Linked DNA regions of Callithrix jacchus. The protein of the gene in region 1 purifies or fractionates together with the protein of each later gene. This does not show direct contact. Links are inferred from orthologs where the notes say so. Each region holds a gene or a part of one and is shown on either strand. Other genes may lie near its edges.

Evidence for each region.
Region 2: the proteins of RILPL1 (region 1) and RAB10 purify together in Homo sapiens (co-immunoprecipitation; 3 studies listed by BioGRID and IntAct, with this or other methods). This does not show direct contact. The link is inferred for Callithrix jacchus from reciprocal best matches to the Homo sapiens genes RILPL1 and RAB10.

What each region holds. Positions count from the first base shown.
Region 1 is NC_133510.1:126,721,171-126,725,017, forward strand, and holds part of RILPL1 (RILP-like protein 1), read right to left. Parts: intron 503-3,847; coding exon 352-502; intron 1-351. UniProt on the Homo sapiens protein: Plays a role in the regulation of cell shape and polarity. Plays a role in cellular protein transport, including protein transport away from primary cilia.
Region 2 is NC_133515.1:88,923,552-88,927,662, forward strand, and holds the start of RAB10 (ras-related protein Rab-10), read left to right. Parts: upstream 1-1,311; 5' UTR 1,312-1,823; coding exon 1,824-1,950; intron 1,951-4,111. UniProt on the Homo sapiens protein: The small GTPases Rab are key regulators of intracellular membrane trafficking, from the formation of transport vesicles to their fusion with membranes.

The DNA.
Region 1 (3,847 bases):
CTGTGTGTTTACATTTAACGCCCTTTCTCCTCTGCAAAGCACACAAGCTTCCCAAGGGCAGGGTCTCTGTCGTGTTTAACACGTATCCCAGGGCCAAGAGAGGAACCTCACAAACAGACGGGAAGCTGTGATAGTTTGCTGCAAGAATCTCGGTGTCACCATCTGTAAACTGAGGCTACATGATGCTTCTCTGGCAGGGCTATGGGGCAAGTCAACATGACACAGGAGGCAAAGGGCCTTGGGCACCAGCCAGCACCGCATCAATGTCCAGGGGCGGTGGCGACAATCACTGATGTGGGCGATGAGAAAAGGAACGGCCGGCCCCTCGCATTGGCGCCGGCCCCCACTTACCCTCATGCTTCTGGAACTCCTCCTCTGAGAAGTTGACGTCCTTGTGGGAGAGGTTGGTCATAAGCTGCTTGTTCTCCTCCTGCAGCTGGGCGATCTGGGAGAGGAGGTCCTGAGCCTCCCCTCGCCACACATCCTCCACCAGCTCCAGCTCCTGCCAAGGCGAGGGGACAGCACGGGGTCACTGCCTGCCCAGGGCAGCAGCCTTACCCACCCTGACCCTAAGGGCGGCTTGGATTGCCGGGACTTTGGGCCTTCCCCTTCCTTGTGAGAACTGGGAATCAGGCATCTGGGTTGGCAAGGCCACCATGAGCCCCATATGGTACTTTTGCAAGAAACAGAAGGCACCCTTCTTTGGGGCAGATGCCTGCGTTTATGCTGCTAGGACCTGGCCCAGTTAGAACTGCCCCAAGGACAACCACAAAGCTGGTGCCACGTCTTGGAGCTTTCTTCAGAGAGGGCAGAGCAGCCCCAGGATGTGCGGGTCCTAACATTCTCAACCTCTGGGGGCACGTCCTTGACTCTGGACAGTTGGGACAAACCTCTCTCCACAGGAGCCAGAGGGCTCGAAAATCCTGGGGGTGCCGAGGCAGACAGGGTCCTCCTGCCCCAGAGTTCCTTAGGTATCTGATCCAGGTCTCTCTCCACAGGGTCTTCAACCACTGACCTGACCACCCTGAGCCTCAGTTTCTCTCAGTAGGGGAACCAAAACAAAGGCTCACTAGGTGAATGTGAGAATAAATAAAATCAGTCTATTAAAGTTACCTTGTGAGTGACTGTGGTCAGAGAAATAGACAATGACAAGTGCTGACAAGGAGAGGAAGAAACAGCAGCGCTCCCACGCCGCTGGTGGGAATGGAAAATGGTGCGGACATTCTGGAAAACACTGGCAGTTTCGCAAAACATGAACACAGTTACCACAGGACCTAGCAACTCCAGTCCTTGGATCGGCTCAAGAGGTGTGAACACAAGTCCACATGAAAACGTGTGCAGGGAAATGCTCCTCACAGCATTCTTCCTAGTAGCCAAAACGCAGAAACAGCACATCCATACAGTGGAATACTATTTGGCCACTAAAAGGAATGAAAGTCTGACATACGCTACAACATAGGTGGACCCTGAAAACATTATGGAAAGAAGCCAGACACAAAAGGTCAAATGTTATATGATCAGTTTTAAAAAATGTCCAATATCAGCAAATCCATAGAGATAGGAAGCAGGGCGAGGCACAGTGGCTCACGCCTGTAATTCCAGCACTTTGGGAGGCCGAGATGGGTGGATCACTTGAGGTCAGAAGTTTGAGACCAACCTGGCCAACAAGGTGAAACCCCATCTCTACTAAAAATATAAAAATCAGCTTGGCGGCCGGGCGTGGTGGCTCACACCTGAAATCTAAGCACTTGGAGGCCAAGGTGGATGGATCACCTGAGGTCAGGAGTTCAAGACCAGCAGGACCAACATGGTGAAACCCCGTCTTTTTTTTTAAATATATATATATAAATTAGCTTGGCATGGTGGTAGGCACCTGTAATCCCAGCTACTCCGGAGGCTGAGGGTGGAGAATCGCTTAAACCCAGGAAGTGGAGGTTGCAGTCAGCCGAGATTGCACCATTGCATTCCAGCCTAGGTAACAAGAGGAAAATTCCATCTCAAAAAAAAAAAATATATATATATATACATATATACATATACATATACATGTACATGTACATGTCAGGCGTGGTGGCTCACGCCTGTAATTCCAGCACTTTGGGAGGCTGAGGTGGGTGGATCACCTGAGGTCAGGAGTTCGAGACTGGACTGACCAACATGGTGAAACCCCGTCACTACTAAATACAAAAAATGACCCAGACATGGTAGTGCATGCCTGTAGTCCCAGCTACTTGGGAGGCTACGGCAGGAGAATTCTTGAACCCAGGAGGTGGAGGCTGCAGTGGCTGAGACTGAGCCATTGCACTCCAGCCTAGGCAACAAGAGCTAAAATCTGTCACAAAATGAAAGAAAAAGAGAAAAAGGAAAAGAAAAAAAGAGAGAAAAAGGAAGCAGACAGGTTGTCTAGAGCCAGCGTGCTAGAGGGAAGATGAAGAATGACTGTGAATAGGTATAGATTTTCTTTTGGGGGTGATGAAAATGTTCTAAAATTGATGGTGGCAGGGTGCAGTGGCTCACACCTGGAATCCCAACACTTTGAGAGGCCAAGGCGGGTGGATCACTTGAGGTAAGGATTTCGAGACCAACCTGGCCAACATGGCAAAACCCCATCTCTACTAAAAACACAAAAAATTAGCCAGGTGTGGTGGTGGGCACCTGTAATCCCAGCTACTTCGGAAGCTCAGGCAGGAGAATTGCTTGAACCTGGGAGGTGGATGCTACAGTGAACCGAGATCAAGCCATTGCACTCCAGCCTGAGCAACAGAATGAGATTCCATCTCAAAAAATAAAATAAAATAGTAAAATAGGCAAGGCACAGTGGCTCACACCTGCAATCCCAGCACTTTGGGAGGCAGGTGGATCACCTGAGGTCAGGAGTTCAAGACCAGCCTGGTCAACATGGCAAAACCCCATCTCTACAAAAATATAAAAATTAGCTGGGTATGGTGGTATGTGCCTGTAATCCCAGATACTCGGGAGGCTGAGGTGGGAGAACTGCTTGAACCTGGGAGGCAAAGGCTGCAGTGAGCCGAGATCGCGCCACTGCACTCCAGCCTGGGCCACAGAGTGAGACTCCATCTCGAAAAATGTAAAATAAAATAAAATAAATAGTGGTTCAAGGCATTGACACCGGAGCCTGTTGACCCAAGTTTGAATCCTGTTCCAGCTGCTTACTAGCTGACCCTGGTAAGTTATTCAACCTTCCGGTGCCCTGGAAATGAGGAGAACAATGTAGGATCTGCCAGGAAGGGTGGGTGTGAGGATTAAACAGTTACTATGAGTAAAGTGCCCAGAACATGCCCAGCCACCAGAAAGCACTAACAACATGTAATCTCTGTTCCATCCCTACCACCCATCACAAGCGGCCAGGTGGCCGCATGCTAGGCATGCCTCTGTCCATCTGCTAAATAAATTCTCAGACCCACCTCCTTTGTCAGAACCTGTAGCACTGGGGACGAGAGGAGTAATAGCCTAGTACTGGCACCGAGGGTTCAAGGTCACCAGGGGAGGTGAAGGGCAGGGTGGGGGGCGGCAGTCGTGGGGGAGGGATGGGGAGGGCATGCTGACCTTCCCACAAGCAGGTGGGGCTTGGAAGCAAATGAGGCACATCCAGCCCTGTTCCTCTCTGCTCCCAGTGGGCATCGGCTGGGCTCACAGATGCTCAGAGAACATCAGTCAAGTGTAACTGGCTGGGGCAGGCAGAATAACAGCTTCCAAAGTCCTCCAGGTCCTAGTCTCTGAGAATATGTTGCCTTACGTGGCAAAGGGGACTGCGCAGAGATGATTAAGTTAGGGACTTAGGCACGGTGTGGTGGGTTATACCTATCACACCAGTAATTTAGGGGGC
Region 2 (4,111 bases), on another chromosome or scaffold:
ACTACGGAAGGCAAGGAGAAAAAGAGCGGTGTAAATAGGATTGATGGGGAGAGAGGTCAGAAGTAGGTAAAACAAATGAAGAGAGAATGCGAGGATGGAGGCTGTGTCGGATTGGGGGTAGGCTTGACCACCTTTCAATTTTTTTTTTTTTTTAATCAGACGAGGTCTCGCTCTGTCGCCAGGCTGGAGTGCAGTGGCAAGATCTCGGCTCACTGCAATCTCTGCCTCCCAGGTTCATGCGATTCTCCTGCCTCAGCCTCCAGAGCAACTGGGACTACAGGCACGTACCAACACGCTCGGCTAATTTTTTGTTTTTTTAGTAGATATGGGGTTTCACCGTGTTAGGATGGTCTCGATCTCCTGAACTCGTGATCCACCCGCCTTGGCCTCCCAAAGTGCTGGGATTACAGGCAAGAGCCACCTCGCCCGGCCCACCTTTCAATTTTCAACCCAGTACGACTCTGGTGGCAGGTAGACGCTCCACGTCCTCTGCGGAGAGCTCTCGGGTTCTCCCGGATTCCTAAAGGCCAGCAAAGGCCTAGAGCAGGTTCTCTGAGCATCGCACATAACCTTCCACTTCGCGGGGTTGTTGTTCCTGCGCCCAGGTGTTCCTCAGCCTTCCTCTCCTCGCCCAGGAAGAGGCTGTGGGGATTACATCATACCAACCCGAGCAGCATGGCCAGGTTTTCCATCTCCAACTCTTGCTCCAGAAGCGAACCGGGATGGAGCGCTCAAGTTTCCCCGTCAGGGTTGGCCCTGGCGGGGGGGAGGGGAGCGGGTGGCACGCCGGGAGGAGTCTCGTTCTAGCAAAGAAGCTATTAAATGACCCAAGGCACGACTTTTTCTCGCATTCACGAGCTCCACCTACACAGGAACACATGGCCACCCAAGCCCGTCGCTGCGCCCAGACCTCCGGCTCAACACACCCGACAAACTCTGTGCAGAGAAACCGCAGCGCGGGCTAGTCGGCGACCCCGGGAAAGGAAAGAGGTGCGCGGTGCGGAAAGCGTGTACCCGAAGGCGCTGCGCCTGCGTAGTGGCTAGGCAGCGACTCCCGAGGGGCGTGCTCGTAACGCCGCGCACCCTATCAGGCGGCCAAAGGGAGCGCGCCGCGGCCTCACCCCCTCTCGCCCCTCCCTTCTCCCCTCTGGGTTTAGCTTCAGACTGAGGCTTGGAGGCCGGAGGGGGCGCTCCACTCTCCACCCAGGCGCGCCCCACGCCCTCTTGTGCGCGTGCGCAGAGGCGGACCGCAAGGCGAGGGCGCGAGGGAAGGGCGGGCGTACGTCCTTGCGTGCGTCTCAGGCAGCGCGCACGCTGGCGTGAGAGGGCACGGGGGAAAGGTGGCTCTGGCCGGGGTGGCTCGGCTTCCTGGGGCTATGTAGCTGAGCCCGTCGACTTGGGGGTTCTTCTTCGCTGTCCTCGCGGCGTGCTAGCGCAGAGTTTCTGCTCCGGGGAGAGACTGTACACACGCCCGCCGCACCTCCTCGACGGCAGAGCAAGCTTGCTCGCCCGTGGGAGCGTCCCGGCCGAGAAACCCTGAGGGGGGAGGGGAGGCCATTTTGTCCCGACCGACTCCCCGGAACCGGGCGGAGCGGCTGGGAGAGGCTGCGGAGCTGCGGTCGCCGCCCTCGGAGGCACTGGACGGAGGCACTGTCTGGGCTTCCTCGAAGCTGTTCGTAGGTCGCCCGCACCCTCTCGAGCTTTCCTTTTTCCCACGCTTCCCCGTCCTCCGGCCTGAGAACGCCCGAGTGAGGAGTTGGCTGTAGTGAGAGGGACCGATCCCTTGGGGCCGCCGGCGGCGAGAGCCCGAGCCGCTCCTCCCAATGGCGAAGAAGACGTACGACCTGCTTTTCAAGCTGCTCCTGATCGGGGACTCGGGAGTGGGGAAGACCTGCGTCCTTTTTCGTTTTTCGGATGATGCCTTCAATACCACCTTTATTTCCACCATAGGTAAGACCTGTGGGAGGACAGTGTACGGTCTCGGTAGCTGCAAACCTTTTATTTTACTCCAGACATCTTGCTTCCCGTGATATACGCCTTTGTTTCGGTGATTCCGATTCCAAACGACAGACCCAAGTTACTGTTTGAATCGGTATGGAGCTTACTGGGGCGGGGTCTTCCATGCTTTCCATCCGGCCTTTTGCTTTCAAGTCTCCCACTATGCTCAGTGCCTTCGGTTACAAAATATGCATCATTTAACCACGTTCCGGAACCTTATTTCTTCAGGACTGGCTTTTTCCACATTTGCGTGGAATTATTAGATGTGTGGTATATGTAAGGTATTTATTTCAGTGGTTGTGATAGAAGCAGTACTAGCTATTTGGGAAAGGCCTGAGTTTATACTCCGGGGCAAAAAGAAGATTCCATATGGTCATAACTTAGAGTAAACTTGAGGGTTTGTGTGTAGAATAATTAAGGCAAATTAGAAGGGAAAAGTGAGTTGTCCTCCTTGACTAATCCATTGATGTGTCAAACAATCGGAGGCCCTTCGCGCTTGGGGTGGGACTCTGGCATATTTGCCTCAGTGCCTTTTGAGACATCAACAGAAACAGTAATCTGAGGGAGATATGATCAGTTTCTGTCCTCAAACCCAACAGAATGAAGTCAAGTTCTCTCTTCTGTTTCGACTGTAGTATTTACAGGAAAGTATTTTGCCAGTCATAGCCCTAAGGACTTCTAATGTACTTTCACCACGTTTCAGAATTACTTAGTGTGGAAGTAAGAGCTAAAGAGTGACCTTTTAAATCGAATTTCCCATTTAGGAAAGGAAAAGGGAAGGCTCTAGGAAAGTCCCTTTTGAATCTGGTTAGAAAATTTAGTGGCGCTGATGCTAATTGTGCTAAATTAATTGTGAAACTCATCCGATCCCCAATACATTTCTTCAAGACACATAGCTGCCTCTGTCACTTGGAGCCCAGCACTCAGCATTGTGGCGGTGTAGTTTAACCCATTTTTAAATGTAATTTTCTATTGAGACGATTTTAAAAAGCAACTGCAGTTGTCTTTGAACTCTGGGAATTGTTAAAATTAAGCTGATTTGAAAGAATTTATAGCGTTACTGAAATAATTTGGTTTGGATTTTTGTGCGTGTGTGACAAATAGCTGCTTCATTCTCACAAAAGAAATTACACTGAAATTAAATTGGACAAGTGGTTTTTTAAAAATAGATTTTTATTTTGCTCACCCTTTTTGGGTGGAAATTACAGTTCTTATTTCCGGAGTATCTTACTGTTCTCTTGGTCTTTCACAAATTTCATGAAACTTAGAACTTGTTCTCTAACTTCTGGGTTAGAGAACACTAGCACTTAGCGCTAGCACTTACAATGCACTAAGTTTGCTTTTAACACTCCACTTTTAGCTGTAGTTGGGTGGGGTTAGGTGATCAGATGGGTCAGCAAATATTTACTGAGCACCTAATGCTTGGCACTATTCTTAGGCACTGGGAATAAGTGGTGAACACAACAGACCCCTCGAAGAGCATTCCAGTGAGGTCAATCATAACAATGTGGAAGGTGCTACAGTAGTAACCATAGGGAGGAGGACTGGCTAGCCTAAATCGTGAGGAGTCTGAGTAGGCTTACATAGAGATGATATCTAAAATGATGAAGTCTGAGGGACTAATAGGAATTGGGTCAGAGGGGTGAGATAAGGCCTTTCTGGAAAAGGGAACATAGAACAAACGTATAGTAAGGTTGAGGATTTAATTCATGTGGTCAACTTTATTTTGAGACAGAATTTCGCTCTGTCACCCAGGCTGGAGTGCAGTGGCATGATCTCAGCTCTCTGCAGCCTCCACTTCAGGGGTTCAAGCAATCCTCCTGCTTCAGCCTCCTGAGTAGCTGAGATTAAAGGTGCCCACCACCGTGCCTGTCTAATTTATGTATTTTTAGTAGAGACTGGGTTTCACCATGTTGGTCAGGCTGGTCTTGAACTCCTGACCTCAAGCAGTCCACCGCCTCAGCCTACTAAAGTGCTGGGATTCCAGGGGTGAGCCACCATGCCCAGCCATGTGGTCACCTTTAACCTGTCATTAGGAACAGTGGTGGATGGAGAGAATTGGAAGCAAAACATTGTCTACTCCAATGTTTTTGTAAAGGGTACATGCCCCCAT